Linked DNA regions of Drosophila melanogaster. The gene in region 1 interacts genetically with each later gene. Each region holds a gene or a part of one and is shown in the gene's direction. Other genes may lie near its edges.

The links. A genetic interaction does not mean that the proteins touch.
Region 2: of osk (region 1) and vls, changing one suppresses a phenotype caused by changing the other (phenotypic suppression), as found in Drosophila melanogaster (one study listed by BioGRID).
Region 3: of osk (region 1) and par-1, changing one enhances a phenotype caused by changing the other (phenotypic enhancement), as found in Drosophila melanogaster (one study listed by BioGRID).

What each region holds. Positions count from the first base shown.
Region 1 is NT_033777.3:8,933,247-8,938,918, forward strand, and holds osk (oskar), read left to right. Parts: upstream 1-1,879; 5' UTR 1,880-1,899; coding exon 1,900-2,434; intron 2,435-2,469; exon of another isoform or gene 2,470-2,553; intron 2,554-2,682; coding exon 2,683-3,100; intron 3,101-3,195; coding exon 3,196-3,960; intron 3,961-4,018; coding exon 4,019-4,121; 3' UTR 4,122-5,149; downstream 5,150-5,672. Other genes in the region: ScsbetaA (Succinyl-coenzyme A synthetase beta subunit, ADP-forming), read left to right, coding at 5,574-5,642. UniProt on the Drosophila melanogaster protein: Organizes the germ plasm and directs localization of the posterior determinant nanos. Oskar protein is required to keep nanos (nos) RNA and staufen protein at the posterior pole.
Region 2 is NT_033779.5:20,063,761-20,067,571, reverse strand, and holds vls (valois), read left to right. Parts: upstream 1-1,892; 5' UTR 1,893-1,973; coding exon 1,974-2,513; intron 2,514-2,570; coding exon 2,571-2,947; intron 2,948-2,999; coding exon 3,000-3,186; 3' UTR 3,187-3,311; downstream 3,312-3,811. Other genes in the region: bwa (brain washing), read right to left, coding at 674-811; lok (loki), read right to left, coding at 3,597-3,811. UniProt on the Drosophila melanogaster protein: Involved in specific localization of cytoplasmic proteins during the formation of pole plasm. Required for synthesis and/or stability of oskar protein (osk) and localization of tudor (tud) in both the nuage and posterior pole of the oocyte.
Region 3 is NT_033778.4:19,465,461-19,470,465, forward strand, and holds the start of par-1 (par-1), read left to right. Parts: upstream 1-2,005; 5' UTR 2,006-2,181; exon of another isoform or gene 2,182-2,353; intron 2,354-3,329; 5' UTR 3,330-3,510; coding exon 3,511-4,878; intron 4,879-5,005.

The sequences.
Region 1 (5,672 bases):
TCCTGAGATTTTCCGCCTGTCAGCAGATTAACAGGTGTCTCTCCGCCCCACCAAAGTGAGGCAATAGCTAAATTGTTCGCATAAATTGATTACAATAATTTGCCTATCCCCCAACATTTAGCCGCCCTCTGCGAAATGAATTCGCTGCTGGTAAAAATTCTAAGACAGCAGACAGAATAACAACAAGTTGCTCCGTCGGCTTCCATAATTTATGCAGAAATGCAGTCGAACCCAATGAAAAGTGTCGTTCACAAATCTAGGCGGTAAATTGCTTTTTGCGATTTCCAATGCACACCCACCACACGCAAATGCAAAAGTTGTCAATCAAAAATGGTCGTCAATCATGGTAGTAGTTGTTAGAAAGGAAGAGAGTAGGAAAATGTCTTTAAAAATATTAAACAAATTTATTTTTCAGTGGTTACTTCCTACAATTACGCTTATAGAAATACAAGGAAGGTTGCCAAATACCATAAATATATGTATAATTCCTTACCTTACAATCGAGTGACCACTGTAATTCTTAGCTGGGAGTAGAGAGAATGAGAGAGGGCCTGGAATGCAAATTACTATTATTACCGGACAATTGCCCTGTGCTGTGCGAGTGCATTCAAAATATTTGAAACACCACCCGAAAAGGGAAAATTGAATGGCAAGAAAAGCCGGCTGATTCATCCCACTCTAAATTATTGGGCTTACACATTCAGCAAATAAAAATGGGAGAAGGGTCGAGATTTATAAATTGGACCACATGTTCTCGCCCAGTTTTTCTACATACATATAGTATTGTATTGCTCGTCACGTCTCTGCAGCATCCTCTGCAATTAAGGCAAGGCTAGGGAAAATATACAGTCCAACATCTATAAGGAAGTACTTCCCTAAATTACAGATAGGTTGTAGTGGCACTAACTATTGCCCATTCTATATATATTACCCTTTGAACCCATCAACACCTTATTGAAAATTATTTTTTTATTATTCTGATCTGCTAGTTAAGTAAAATTTTTACTGATTTAATTTTTGTAATTTCTTGCTGGTACGCATTACTGATGTTTGACTGTATCCAACTTGCTTAAGCTAAGAAGCCATAATCCTCCTTCCGATTGTCTGTGCTTCTTCCGGGGTGCCGGAATCATCACGAGATGTAAGAAAGCCCCTGAGTCATCCATCAATCGCTGGACTAACCCTCAGAGCAAGTGCCTCCATTACCCTTCTCGGAGTTTCAGGTGCACTTGCTGTATGGATGGATAATCATCTCCTGGGGAATTGCTGCCAAGCAGCTCCATTTGCCGATTAGCCGACAGACCACCAGAGCACCACCGCACGTGGTAACGCTCGTCGGCACCATTTGAGTTATTCTGGAATTTATGTATATGCTACTTCGTAATTGCTTATCAAGCAGCTCTGCAGACCCACTGGCGTGCTGTTTTCTAATCTGGACCAAGAGAAAGGCCATTAAAACGAATGTCCAGCTGGAACGGAGTGCAAACTGCTTTGTGTAATGGTCGTCAAATGGCAATGCAGGTGGTAATTTCGTTTAATTGTTTTTACTGGCTACGTAGACTGCTTTGAATGTTAACCTAATGGTGGGCGAATGGGAACAAATTGATAAAAAAATTAAAGAAAATGAATATATATATATATATATAGGTTCTATATTAGGTTCTGAAAACAGTTTTTTATTTTTTCAAAATTTTTTGGTTGTACCACCCTAATGTATTTTCACAAATTCTGTTGATCTGGAAACATTATCTCTGCAAACTGCTCACCGTTACTTCTGTTGCGCCTGCTCTTTCGCCTTCCAGTACGAAAAGCACCGTAAGTCTCCAAAATGCAGATGAATGGAGAAGTGGACCGCGTTGGCGAGGGATCCAAGAATATTGGATCACTTTCCTCCAAGCGATGGCCGCAGTCACAAGTGAATTCCCCAGCAAACCGATCAGTTATACCAGCACCAATACTTCCGCCAAAACCTATTATCTTAAGTCCGTGAAAAAGCGGGTGACCACGTGTTTCCAGCAGTTGCGCGATAAACTCCAGTCATCCGGTTCCTTTCGCAAGAGTTCCTCCAGCTGCCTCAACCAGATCTTCGTAAGGTCCGATTTCTCCGCATGCGGCGAACGCTTTCGGAAGATCTTCAAATCGGCGCGAAAAACCGAATTGCCGGAGTTGTGGAAGGTGCCATTGGTGGCCCATGAACTCACCAGCCGGCAGAGCAGCCAGCAGTTGCAAGTCGTAGCCAGACTCTTCTCGTCCACTCAGATTTCCACCAAGGAAATCACCTACAACAGCAACAGCAACACCAGCGAGAACAACATGACCATCATCGAGAGCAACTATATATCCGTGCGCGAGGAATATCCCGATATAGATAGTGAGGTGCGCGCCATATTGCTGAGCCACGCCCAGAATGGAATCACGATATCGAGCATCAAGAGTGAGTAGCTTTATGTTTGAAAGCTTTCTTCTTTCCAGAAGTTTCGACTTCATCAAACACTTCAGAACTTTCTCTAAGTGGCTATATTTAGTTAGAAATCTAAAATGTATAAATTTTTAGTAGGTTATTAAATTTTATTTGGATTATATAACTTTTATAGTTTAGTATATTTATTTTAATTTATATTTTTTCTATGTTTCTTTTTTGTAAGATTACCCTTAAATAATTCTATAATTGAAATTCGCCAGGTGAATATCGAAAACTGACGGGCAATCCATTTCCACTGCACGACAACGTGACGGATTTCCTGCTGACCATTCCCAATGTGACCGCTGAGTGCAGCGAGTCCGGTAAGCGGATCTTCAACCTGAAAGCGAGCCTGAAGAACGGTCACCTCCTGGATATGGTGCTCAACCAGAAAGAGCGCACCAGCGACTACAGCAGCGGAGCTCCGTCCCTGGAGAACATACCACGAGCACCTCCACGCTACTGGAAGAATCCCTTCAAACGGAGGGCTCTGTCCCAGCTGAACACCAGCCCGAGGACCGTGCCCAAGATAACGGATGAAAAGACCAAGGATATCGCCACCAGGCCGGTTTCGCTGCATCAAATGGCCAATGAGGCAGCGGAGTCGAACTGGTGCTACCAGGATAATTGGAAGCATCTGTGAGTACTGAAAAGGTGTTTTGTAGACAGTGCAACTATAGCAAAAATAAACCTTTACTTAACAAAATGTACTAATCTTTCTACTGAACTCCTAGCAACAATTTCTACCAGCAAGCCAGCGTAAATGCGCCAAAAATGCCAGTACCCATCAACATCTACAGCCCCGATGCCCCAGAGGAACCAATCAATTTGGCTCCACCTGGGCATCAGCCAAGCTGCAGAACCCAAAGCCAGAAAACCGAACCGACTGAAAACCGCCATTTGGGCATCTTTGTGCATCCATTTAACGGCATGAACATAATGAAGAGACGCCACGAAATGACGCCCACGCCAACGATTTTAACCAGTGGAACCTACAACGATTCTCTGCTGACGATTAACTCGGATTACGATGCCTATCTGCTGGACTTTCCGCTTATGGGCGATGATTTTATGCTATATCTCGCCCGAATGGAGCTAAAATGCCGATTTAGGCGTCACGAACGCGTCCTGCAGTCAGGACTTTGTGTATCCGGACTGACGATCAATGGCGCCCGAAATCGTTTAAAAAGAGTCCAATTACCCGAGGGTACTCAGATCATCGTCAATATCGGATCGGTGGACATTATGCGCGGCAAGCCTTTGGTTCAGATCGAGCACGATTTTCGGCTACTGATCAAGGAGATGCACAATATGCGATTGGTGCCGATTCTAACAAATCTTGCACCGCTGGGCAACTATTGTCACGATAAGGTATTATGTGACAAAATCTACCGATTCAACAAGTTTATCCGAAGCGAATGCTGTCACCTAAAGGTCATCGACATACACTCCTGTCTAATCAACGAAAGGGGCGTGGTGCGATTTGATTGCTTTCAGGCGTAAGACTTTATACCATATACCATATCATATGAGTTTACGATTTGTGCCACTTTTCAGCTCACCACGCCAAGTCACCGGTTCCAAGGAACCCTATCTGTTCTGGAACAAAATCGGTCGGCAGCGCGTACTGCAAGTTATTGAAACGAGTCTGGAGTATTAAGTTGGGTTCTTAATCAAGATACATATATGCAAATTTTGACTGGGCTGGCACCGGAACCGACAAAATAAGAACTTTTTGATGATTTTACGATTTACGCTGATGGATCGCTGCTTTTACGGAATTCGCTTAGTTTTAATATGTTTTATATGTAGTATGTTCTCTGTCTTTGTTTATTTATATGTTCGTGCACTTGTCCTAGTCCATTATTGTATATTATTGTGTGTTTTGTGTTCTATGTTAGATTTAAACTTCTCAATTTTTCGCTGTCTGTGATTTGTTTTGCCAATGCCATTGATTTTCTGCACACTTTTTGCTGCTATCCCAAAAGCTGTGTAAAATAATCAAATGCAAAATAAGCGCAAGCAGCTGAAAACTTCTCTTCAAACTTTTCCGCTTTTCCCAAAACCATTTTGCTTTGAAATCTGTTTTTACCAAATCAGATTAAACTGCAAAATGGAACTTAAATGCAAATCATTGCAATGCTTATAAACTGTTTTTTGTTCTATATACTTTTGTGTGGGTCAAAATTCGGCATGCTCCTGTATCACACAACCTGCCACTTGCCCTTAAAAAGAAGGGCGCAGTGGGCGTGGTACGTATACATATGAGCCATGCTGCATTTTGGCCGTAATGAAAATGCACTGCTTTACTTGGAAAATTCGCTTGCACAAAATCAACGCCGCGGCTGATTTATTATTGATGTGCTCAAGCAAATTCAAGTGAAGCATTTGCGCGATTTTCGTCTTTCTGTTTCCGTTTGCAAAAAAGTTTATAAAATGCTTACACTCTGCTGCAGACACGCCAACCGGAAGTGCGCACTAAGCGCTTGTTTGTAGCACAGTGTAGAATTCTGGCGTAATTTACAGCTCTACTTTAAAGTCTTCTAGATAGCTATCTACTATTTATAAACTTATTTATTGTCTTGAATGTATGTTAATTGTATGTATTGATGGTGATCACGTTTTTTTTGTCCTATAACAAGCTGCAATGTAAAATCCAAAAAAAAAATGAAAAAATAAAATAAAAGGGAAATCAATGATTTTGTTTGCTCTAAGCTATGTTCAAAGTAACTGGGAACTAATCGAACTAATTTCGATTTAAAAGTGGTCTAGATTATATTGTGACATTTGTGAATATATTATTATATTTGCGAATTTATTATTATCATAAAAATAACGGTAGTTGAAAAATAATTTAGATGGCATGCAATATTAAAAGTTCCCGCCAAATTGGCTTGAATCTTTGCTAATATATTACAGTTTCCAACCTTGCATTAAGTTCACGATAGTTTTTCGGCATTTTCGATTGTAAAAGCATAAAAAAGTCCCTGCTATCGAAGCTCTACCACCTCCATCAGCAGGCGACGGCAAAAAAATCTTGAAATGTAAGCAGTAACGTCAAAATTCGCTTTCAAATCGTTAAACGTACGTTCTCATTCGATTTCAGAACAAAATGGCTTCATTCTTGGCACGAACTGGCGGCCCCCTGATCGAAACCGTTAGGCCAGCGGCCATAAAAAAGGTGAGTTCGCCAATTAGTAGTCATATTTGT
Region 2 (3,811 bases), on another chromosome or scaffold:
TTACGATTGTAAGAACGTTTATATTAATGCGGATGCCATTCATTACCACCAGCACAGCTATTTGTTTAGGCTGTTTTACTATAATGACAAATGCAAACGGCTGACTAACTAAATGAAATCGCGAGCGTATAATCTACATATTTCAAATCTAATAACATCGGACAGCCGGGTTCAAAGTAGTTATATAAATCATATTATATATGAAAGAGATGATAACAACCAAATGAGAGAAGCTAGCCCTTGCAGGACTTAGTTTGAAGTCCGTGTAGCGGCCAAGTCTGAAGAGACACAAGTTTCCAGTCCGAGGACAAAGTGTTCATTATGCTTTGCCCTGTCCGCAATACCAAGTTTTATATCGATCGGACAGGTGTGAAGCTCAGGGCGATAAGAAAACTGAATTTTCCGGGTGTCGCATTTTCCGGGTGCGAAAATGACCCCCACCCCCAGCCCATCGTCACACCAACGCAAACAAAGCGTGGCAAACAGCATCTTTTGTTTACGTTGCCAGTCGGTCTCGCTCTAAAAAGGTCAAGGCCTATTCAAAGGGAAAACTAGCAGCTGTCTGCGAAGGGGTGAGAAGAGCAACTACGACCACTGCGGGGACAACTAAGTGGGGCAGCGAAAGCAGAGCGCACAAATTACATACAACGTTAAATAAATCGCACATACGCACCGTGTTCACGAACTCGGCGATGTTGGACGAAATCAAGTAGTTGCCTTCGCACCAGTCGACGGGCGAGCTTCCGGGTCTTAGGTGCTCCCAGGCCATGGCGTAGATGTCCAGCAGCCCGCCGCCCCCCATCCCGCCCATTCTCCGCCCACTCGATGGAGGCCCGACCGCAGAGATCACAGCTGATTGGGGAGGCGGTTCCGCTCGTTCTGCCCAGGCACTTTGTGTGTGTGTGTGTTGCTCTGTCGCCCTTCCTTGCAATCTTAGACCAGCTGCAGTGGCGCAATTTGCATAATAGCCCAGTGTGCAAGCACTTGCGTGTCTTTGTTGATTGCCTTCCGTCGCGTGGCTTACTGCAGAGTCGAAGTATTCCGCAGTTATGTAAGGAAATATTTAGTTCTTGATGGCTCAGGCGATGGAATCTACGACGTTTGGGACGCTGACCACTCGCGCTAGGAACGCACTTTTCAAAAAATAAACCAGCGCGCAACGAGCGACGCGATAATAATAAACAAAAATAACAACTGTGTGACCGCTTGCAAGCGAACGGTAAATGTCCATAGTGGCGGGAAATCCCCTAAAAAATACCGTTGCTCACAACTATACCGTTAAGCAATGTGAAATGTAAACGTAATGTAGAAACTTTGCAGTTGTAAAGTGCGCCATTCTCTTTTTTTAATTACCGCCTGGCGATTTCGGAACTCCTGTATCGGAAGTCTTATTGTTATATAAATAAATATATTCTTTATGGCATTTTAAAGTGTTGTTCTTGAAAATTATCCTTCACAATTTTATCAAAAATGAGTAAGGAATTCTGAACGTGTTCTGAACCTTTAACCAATCCTTTGACCAATCTATAAATGACTAACTATCATAATTTTGGATGTCCTCCTAGTGATGATGCGCACCAAGATTGCTCAATTTGAAAATGAAAGCTGTAAATAGAAATGCTAAAAAAAACTTGCAAAACGTATTTTCAAAGTCTTTCTATTAATCGACACTTTCATCTCAACTCGTGAAGAAGTGCAATTAAAAATTATTAAAATAGGTCAGTATACATTTTTCCGAGTTCATAATACTGATATTAATCGGAATAAACGAACTCATTTTGAATAAACCAATCAAAAAAAAAAAAAAAAAAAACTCCAGAGTATCCAGCTCGCGCGATTATCTCTAATATTAATGTCTAATAATATCGATATTTCGATTGGTACACAAATCGATGTATTTGGTCTTGCCGGGCTCGTTGCTCTTCCTTGCTGGCCGATTCTCTGTTGTTTTACGGAATCTTGAGTGAGAGACGATGTTCCCGCAACGCAGCTCGGAGCTGTACCGCACTCCGGTGACCCACCAGCCTCCGCCGGCACTGGAGCTGGCCGGGAATCTGGAGTACCCGAACCTCAACATTGCGGACCTAAACGCGCGATTGGAAAACCTTTCGCCGCGACTGCACGACTGCTGGGACAGCATCGCTATCAATGATCACAACCACCTGGCCCTGGCCACAAACCGACGCGAAGGACGCCAATGGTGGGGCATGTTGTTCGGCTACGGACGCGACCAGATGCACCATATGAGCGTGGACTCGGCGAACTTCAAGCTGCAGGCGGAGCACACGGTGAACATTGTGCGCTACGCTGAGGATGATTTCCTACTGGTGGCCCTTGGGGATACCCGACTCCAGGCCTGGTCCACATACTCCAAGGTGCGAGATTCTCAGTCGCCATACTGCCTCTTCCTCGTGGGCGAGTCCAGTGCGCATCCCACACCCATCAGCCAACTGAGCGTCTTCAAGGCGGATCCCCGCACTGCCGTTTCGGGCTCAGCGGACAGTACCCTCAATGTATGTATAAAGGTGATGTGGATGTATGGAAAATATACAAATGTTACCCTTTTGCAGGTCTGGGATCTCTCGGGCGCCGATATGGTGAGCACCTACAGATCGCGCTCCTCGCATACCGACAAGTTGACTGGCCTGGCCACACCCGCAGCTTCAGTCGATAAATTTGTGACCTGTGATCGTGGCGGCTGTGCCCGCCTTTGGGATGTCCGGGCAGCGGCTCCATCTTCCACGTGCCTCTATGCGGATGCCAGCCACGTGCTGAGCTTCACCAGTGCCGCCTGGGCAGCTGCCTCGGAGCTGCAGGGTGACAATCACATCTATCTCGGGGACTATGACGGCAAAGTTCATACTCTGGACATTCGAGTGCCACGAAAACTGGCGGAAACCAGGGAATACTTCGACAAGGGCCATGTCGCCCAGTTATTAATCAATGGGTACAAGTTTAAGCGAAACAATGACGATTTGCATTAACGCACATATTTTCAGGCCCCATCTGGCTGCGATGAGCAATTTGCCCGCCTCCGTGAAAGTGGCCAATGTGCAGGCGGGCCATGAGTTCATCTACACGCACCAGGACACCCATTCTCGCCTAACTGATGCCGTTTGGACCGATGATAGCACCCTCATCACCATTGGACATGGCCGCAAAATGGTGACGCACGCTATCAAATAATTTTGCTGCCGAACAAATTCAATTGCTTTATTTCAAAAAGCGGAATGGTTTGCTGAAGAGTCATTCTTACATTTAACACTTATAGTTACTGAACAGTTACAAGTAATAAATCGTAATAATAGTCCAATGAAATGGCAGAATTCAAATCGATAGGAATCTTAAAAAAATTGTGAAGCAGCAGCCCAGTTTAAATGCAGTTTAACAGGATAAACCGGGCTTGGGCGATGAAACTTACACTAGACAACACGTAAAAATTAACAACCGCAAAAAATACTTAAATTCGCCAATACACTCGGATGCGGCGGTGTCGGCGTTTTGGGAAAAATGTTGTCGCTTAATTTTTCCAGAAAATTAAAACCTTTTCGCGCCTCGACCCTCACGTATTAACGATGGAAACACAGAAACGAAACCTAGCGTCGCGATCGCTTGGTGGGTGGCTCAAGGAAGTTCTCCTCCTCGATTTCCATGCCATCGAGCTTCATCAGCCTCTTCGCCTTCTGCAGCATGGGCGCATCGCGCAGCCAGCTGCTCTGCAAAACGTCGTCGATTGAGGGTCGCCTCTCGGGATCCACAATGAGCATTTGGTTGATCAGCAGCTTGGCGCGCTGCGAGACACTCTTCCAAG
Region 3 (5,005 bases), on another chromosome or scaffold:
CTATCGAACGCCCTGCGGCAGAAGAATCTAGCGGCCACAAATGCAGCCTCAGCTGCGGCGGCGAACTCATCCTACGCAAGCGGTGGTGGTGGTGGCACCGTAAGCAGTCGGAACAATAAGATTGTGGTGACAATGATCGAAAACGGCGGCTTGCCCATTGTGGCCACCAGTAAGGCGGAAAGGCCCAAGGCCAAGGAGTCGGCATCATCCAGTGACAAGGCTCGCAACTCGAGGGTATGTAATATTGGATATAAATTTATCGATATTATCGATGGTTGCTTACATTTTATCGAAATCCATCGACGGTAACGGTAACCCGTTAGATACTATTGCATAATTAATATAATAGAAGATATAGGAGGATTTATATTGGGAGCTTGCGATATTGGCAATTATGTGATTTAGAAACTTTCCTAGGCTCTTGAGCAAAACTACACTTGACCTTGCTACTTCATTTCAAAAGAGTGGGGCAATAAGGTTATATTTGTTGTGATTAAAGTTTGTCGGTCTCTCACACTTCCCCATTCATTTATGAACATTGCAAATTTATCGTTGTTGTGCTGCCACCTTCATTCAATCTAATCGTAATCGCTGTTTCGTTTTTGTCTGTATCTGTCACGGTTTTTGGTTTTTTTTCCACAATCGAATGAATAACGATTTCTATTATTTTGATTACGGATTTTGTTTAATTTCAGATTTTTGTTACCCCACATTGAATTCCTATAATCCATATGGAAACTAATATATATTTTCAGTCTAATCGCACAAGTGCTACATAAAAACCCAACGCAAATACGTTTAAAGATTAGGGGATTATAGGGATTACGGGCTCTCTGTTTCTATAACTATACGATTGCATTGTCCGGAGGACAAGTTCATAATAGTTGACCTCATTAGATTTTCCTGTTAGCTAGCATGCGAAAAATGAAATTCTATCTTTAATGTTTTTGTTTGGGACCTGAAAGGCTTGACTGAAATCTCGCTGTCTTGTCTTAATGTAGATTAAGCTGCAAGTTATTCAATTAGCTTAATTAATACGGACACTTTATACAGGCTCAGCTACTTGATACCTCGTATGAATAAATTAAAACCAAACTTGGCGAGTTACAAATTGACAGAATGATCGAATTTCATATGAGACACTTTTTGATATCTTAAAATGAGAGTTTCTCTATTTTCCAGATTATTTATTTTTAAGTATACCTAATGTGTTTCGTTTATGTCGTATCACTCGTGTCTCTATATATTTTATTCACAAATTTTATTGTGTCGGCTGACAAATGACTTACAATTATTTGACGACAAGATGTTCATAATAATGTTCTTTCGGGATTGCATTTTTAGTACCAAACTGTGTGTATTCCTCGGTCTTTGTATTCTGGTGATTGATATAGAGTAAAACAGGGGAACGGGGGAAGTTGATTAGTGAAATCTTCGCGACGACCGTAGAATTCCGACTCAGACTTCAGACATCATGTCCTTTTGGTTTTATTACTTAGAACTCTTACGTAATGCATCACCTAATCAACTGATTAACTTTAAAGGAAGCAGTTGAACTTATTGGGTAATTGATTGATTTTAATAGAAAACCAAAGTCCAACCGAATGTTACTTTAATCGCAGTAAATCAGGGAAGAAGCGCTTTGCGTAACTTGGTGGAACTTATATATTGCGCACATGCGCAGAACACTAAACCCTGCAGCAAACACGGCTAACAGTTTCTTTCCCAGCGTTACGCTCAGTGGTACTCGCACACTCATACACTCTCAAAACTTTCGAGCTCCAAACGGGGCTTCTCTTTGTGGGAGAACAAGTACACAGATGCAGATACGGATAGAGATACTGTATTAATGGTAGTAGTGCTCCACCAGTGGAGAGAGCTGCCCACTGATCGTGTGCTTGTGCTGGTGTGTTGGTGTATTAAGGCCGACGCCGCTGCCGCAGTCGACGTCGCTGCTCGAAGCGATTCCGTGCTTTTGGAATACTCCGCGCTCTCGCTCTCCGGCACTCCAGTTCCAGTTGCTGAGTGGCCAAGTGGCTCTTTGGCTGCTGAGCCCTGTTTAGCTTTGTTTTTCGGTGTCTTCTGTGTTTTGCTGTTTTTTGTTGGTGTAAATCGTATAGTTGTAGTCGTAGCCTGTCGACGACGTTTACGTCAGAGTTGCAGAGGAGGAGCTATAATTTAGTACGAATACCCAAACCCCCACGTAAAATGAGTGCGAAAAATTGCGAAAGCCGCGTGCCTCTGCGATAAGATAACCGTGTGTGGTTAAAGAACTCCTCCGGCCAACGAAACGAACCTTTTAATAATCGGGATTTGCGCGAAATGTGATTTTTTATAGTCCACAGACCAAGTGAAAAAAAAAGAAAGAAAATACTCACACACTATCAAACGACCAATGTATATAGCCTAACTGTGTTTTTCAGCAGTGAAAAAGTCGGCTCAATTGTCTAAAAGTAGTTCATTTGCTTCAATGTGTTGGTGCGACCGTGCATGTGTGTGTCTGTGTGTGTGCATTGGAGCTTTTCGCTTTGCTCACTGAAGCAGCGACGAATAAAAATGGAATATAACCAGCCAGCAACTAAACGACTCGTACGGACGAATTGTTCAGATACTTGTAGATCTCCACATCGTAACTATTTAGACAGTAATTAAAAGCAACAAAGGAAAATAGCGAAAAGGCAAATGAATCATAAAACTGAAAAGAGAGCGTGGGAGAGGAGGGTGGGGGTGGGGACAGGAAAAGCGTGACACACACACGAGAGAGAGCGAGGGCATCTCAGCTGAGCTTGTGCAACAGCAGTAGAAATAGGAGAGAGCAATTTAGAGAGAGACCGAAAACAAACACACGCACAAGAGCTCACCTCCACCACAGGTGTGTAGGTGCCACTTCGCTTTTCTCTCTCGCGCACTCTCTTTTGCTATGTATGTAATTGTGTGTTTAGGTATATTGCCCTCCCTTTCACATCCCCACATCGCCTGCCGTGTGTTTATTTCAGTGTCACCGGGGAGACAGATTAGCTCTTGTCCGCCTGTTGTCGTAAATATCACGCACACACGCTTCCCGTCCGCCCATCTGTACATACATATGTACATACGTAGAAATGGAAGTTGCTAGCTGTGTGTTTAATTCATTTTCGAGGTTTTAATGCGCAACAACTGCGACTTGTTGTGTGTTGGTTAGACGACAAAAAACAAACAAAAGTAACGTTGAGAATTTAGAAAGCCCAATGCAAACGAACGCACACACAAGCACTTACTCCTGTCGGTGTGAGCTGCATTGTACTTCCGAAGCCCCAAGACCAATTTAATAATTTTCCCCAAACTCACAGTGTAAGAACAATAAACACGCCAAGCGCAACTTGAAAAAGAAATAAGAAAAAAGAAAAAGTTGCGATCTCTCCGAGCAACAAGTACTTGTGCACCAACACACTCAAGGGAAGAGTGCCACGACAAAAAAATTTAAGAGAAAAAAAACAGAAAAACCGAAATCAGCAGCAAAACGGAGGAGCTATGGAGGCCACCACTACCACAACACCTGACTTGAATCGCGGCGATGCCACCAGGAAGAGTGTCCGGCTGTATGCCGCCCGCAAGGGGGCGGCACCTGCGCCGCCCAAGCTCAGTGTGGCGCCATCTAGTAACCAGAACAGCAACCACAGCAGCAACAACAACAATAGCAGCAGTAACTTGCCGGAAACGGAAAAGGAAATGGAACTGCGTCAAACACATCTTGCCAACAAGGATCTCGATGGAGCCACCGAAGACGACAGCATAGTGGAGCTTCGACGACGTGATGCCCAAGCCACTCCATTGCCCAGGATAGCCGTATCGGCTCTACCCACCCTACAGCCGCATCCCACGCCCAAAGAACGCCAAAAGCCGCCAATGCCACGCCTTCTGTCCACCGAAGACGATGCCGGTGTGTCCTTTGCCCTCGGCTCCATCGAGAAGCACATCCATAACGTGGAGGAGAGCTTTAAGCAACAGCAGCAAAACCAACAATCCCAATCATCGATGGACGTGATGAAACTGGAGATCAAGCGCAAGCAGAGCAAGCGCTACGGTGAAACGGAAAACCTTCTGCGACCGGGCATTAGTGACATGTCCTCCGAGAATGATTTTCAGTATTTGGGCGGCAGGCGGGCAGGAGAACTGGATGACAGCAATGAGCTGATGTTATCGGAATTCCAGCGCGGCAGCGATGGTCGTAACTCGATCGGAGCCTATTCCAAGAACTCGGCTGCTGCCGCAAACGGAGCAAATGCTGTGAAGGCTAAACTGGCACGTACTGCCTCCGATACGAAGAATAATGATACGGTGCTGGCCATGAGGGCCACTTTTAAGCAGAAGCAGCACTTGCAGGACGAGAAACAGCCAGCGGTATGGCGACCAGCTGGCACTGGACCCACTCCGGCGGCCAGGAGCTCCTCCTCCACCACGTCCACCTCCGGCTCGGCCAGTCGTGGCGGTAGCAGCAGCAGCGTGGTGGATGGAGTGGCTCCATCTAAGCTTACGGCCACTACCATTTCAGCGTCTAAGCGGCGTGAGGAGAATTTGCGACAATTTGAAGCTTTGTTGGCCCAAAAATCCTCACATCGTCATGGAGCATCTGGTGCCTCGGGAACAGGAAGTAATGCAGCCAGTTCGAAAAGACGTTCGGACCGGCCGATTGTGGCTCCTATTCCTCCGTACAATTCCAGTCGAGCAGAGCATGTGACCAGCTCGACCAGACACAGCGTTGATCCAAGATCCCATTCGGGACACGAGTCGAGGTCAGGAACAGCCTCAACTCACCCGCCTGTAGGACATCATCCCACTAGCCGCGTACCCAGCGTGGTGGCAAACCGCAGCAATGTGTACAGCAACAATGCTGCGCAGGTAAACGGGATAAAAACCAAAATCCATTTTTATCTACCATATTTCAATATAATTTTCATCATTTGGTTCAGAGAAAGCAATACCACTGTGGTTTAAAATCGCATTTAATATAACTATTAATCGTTAG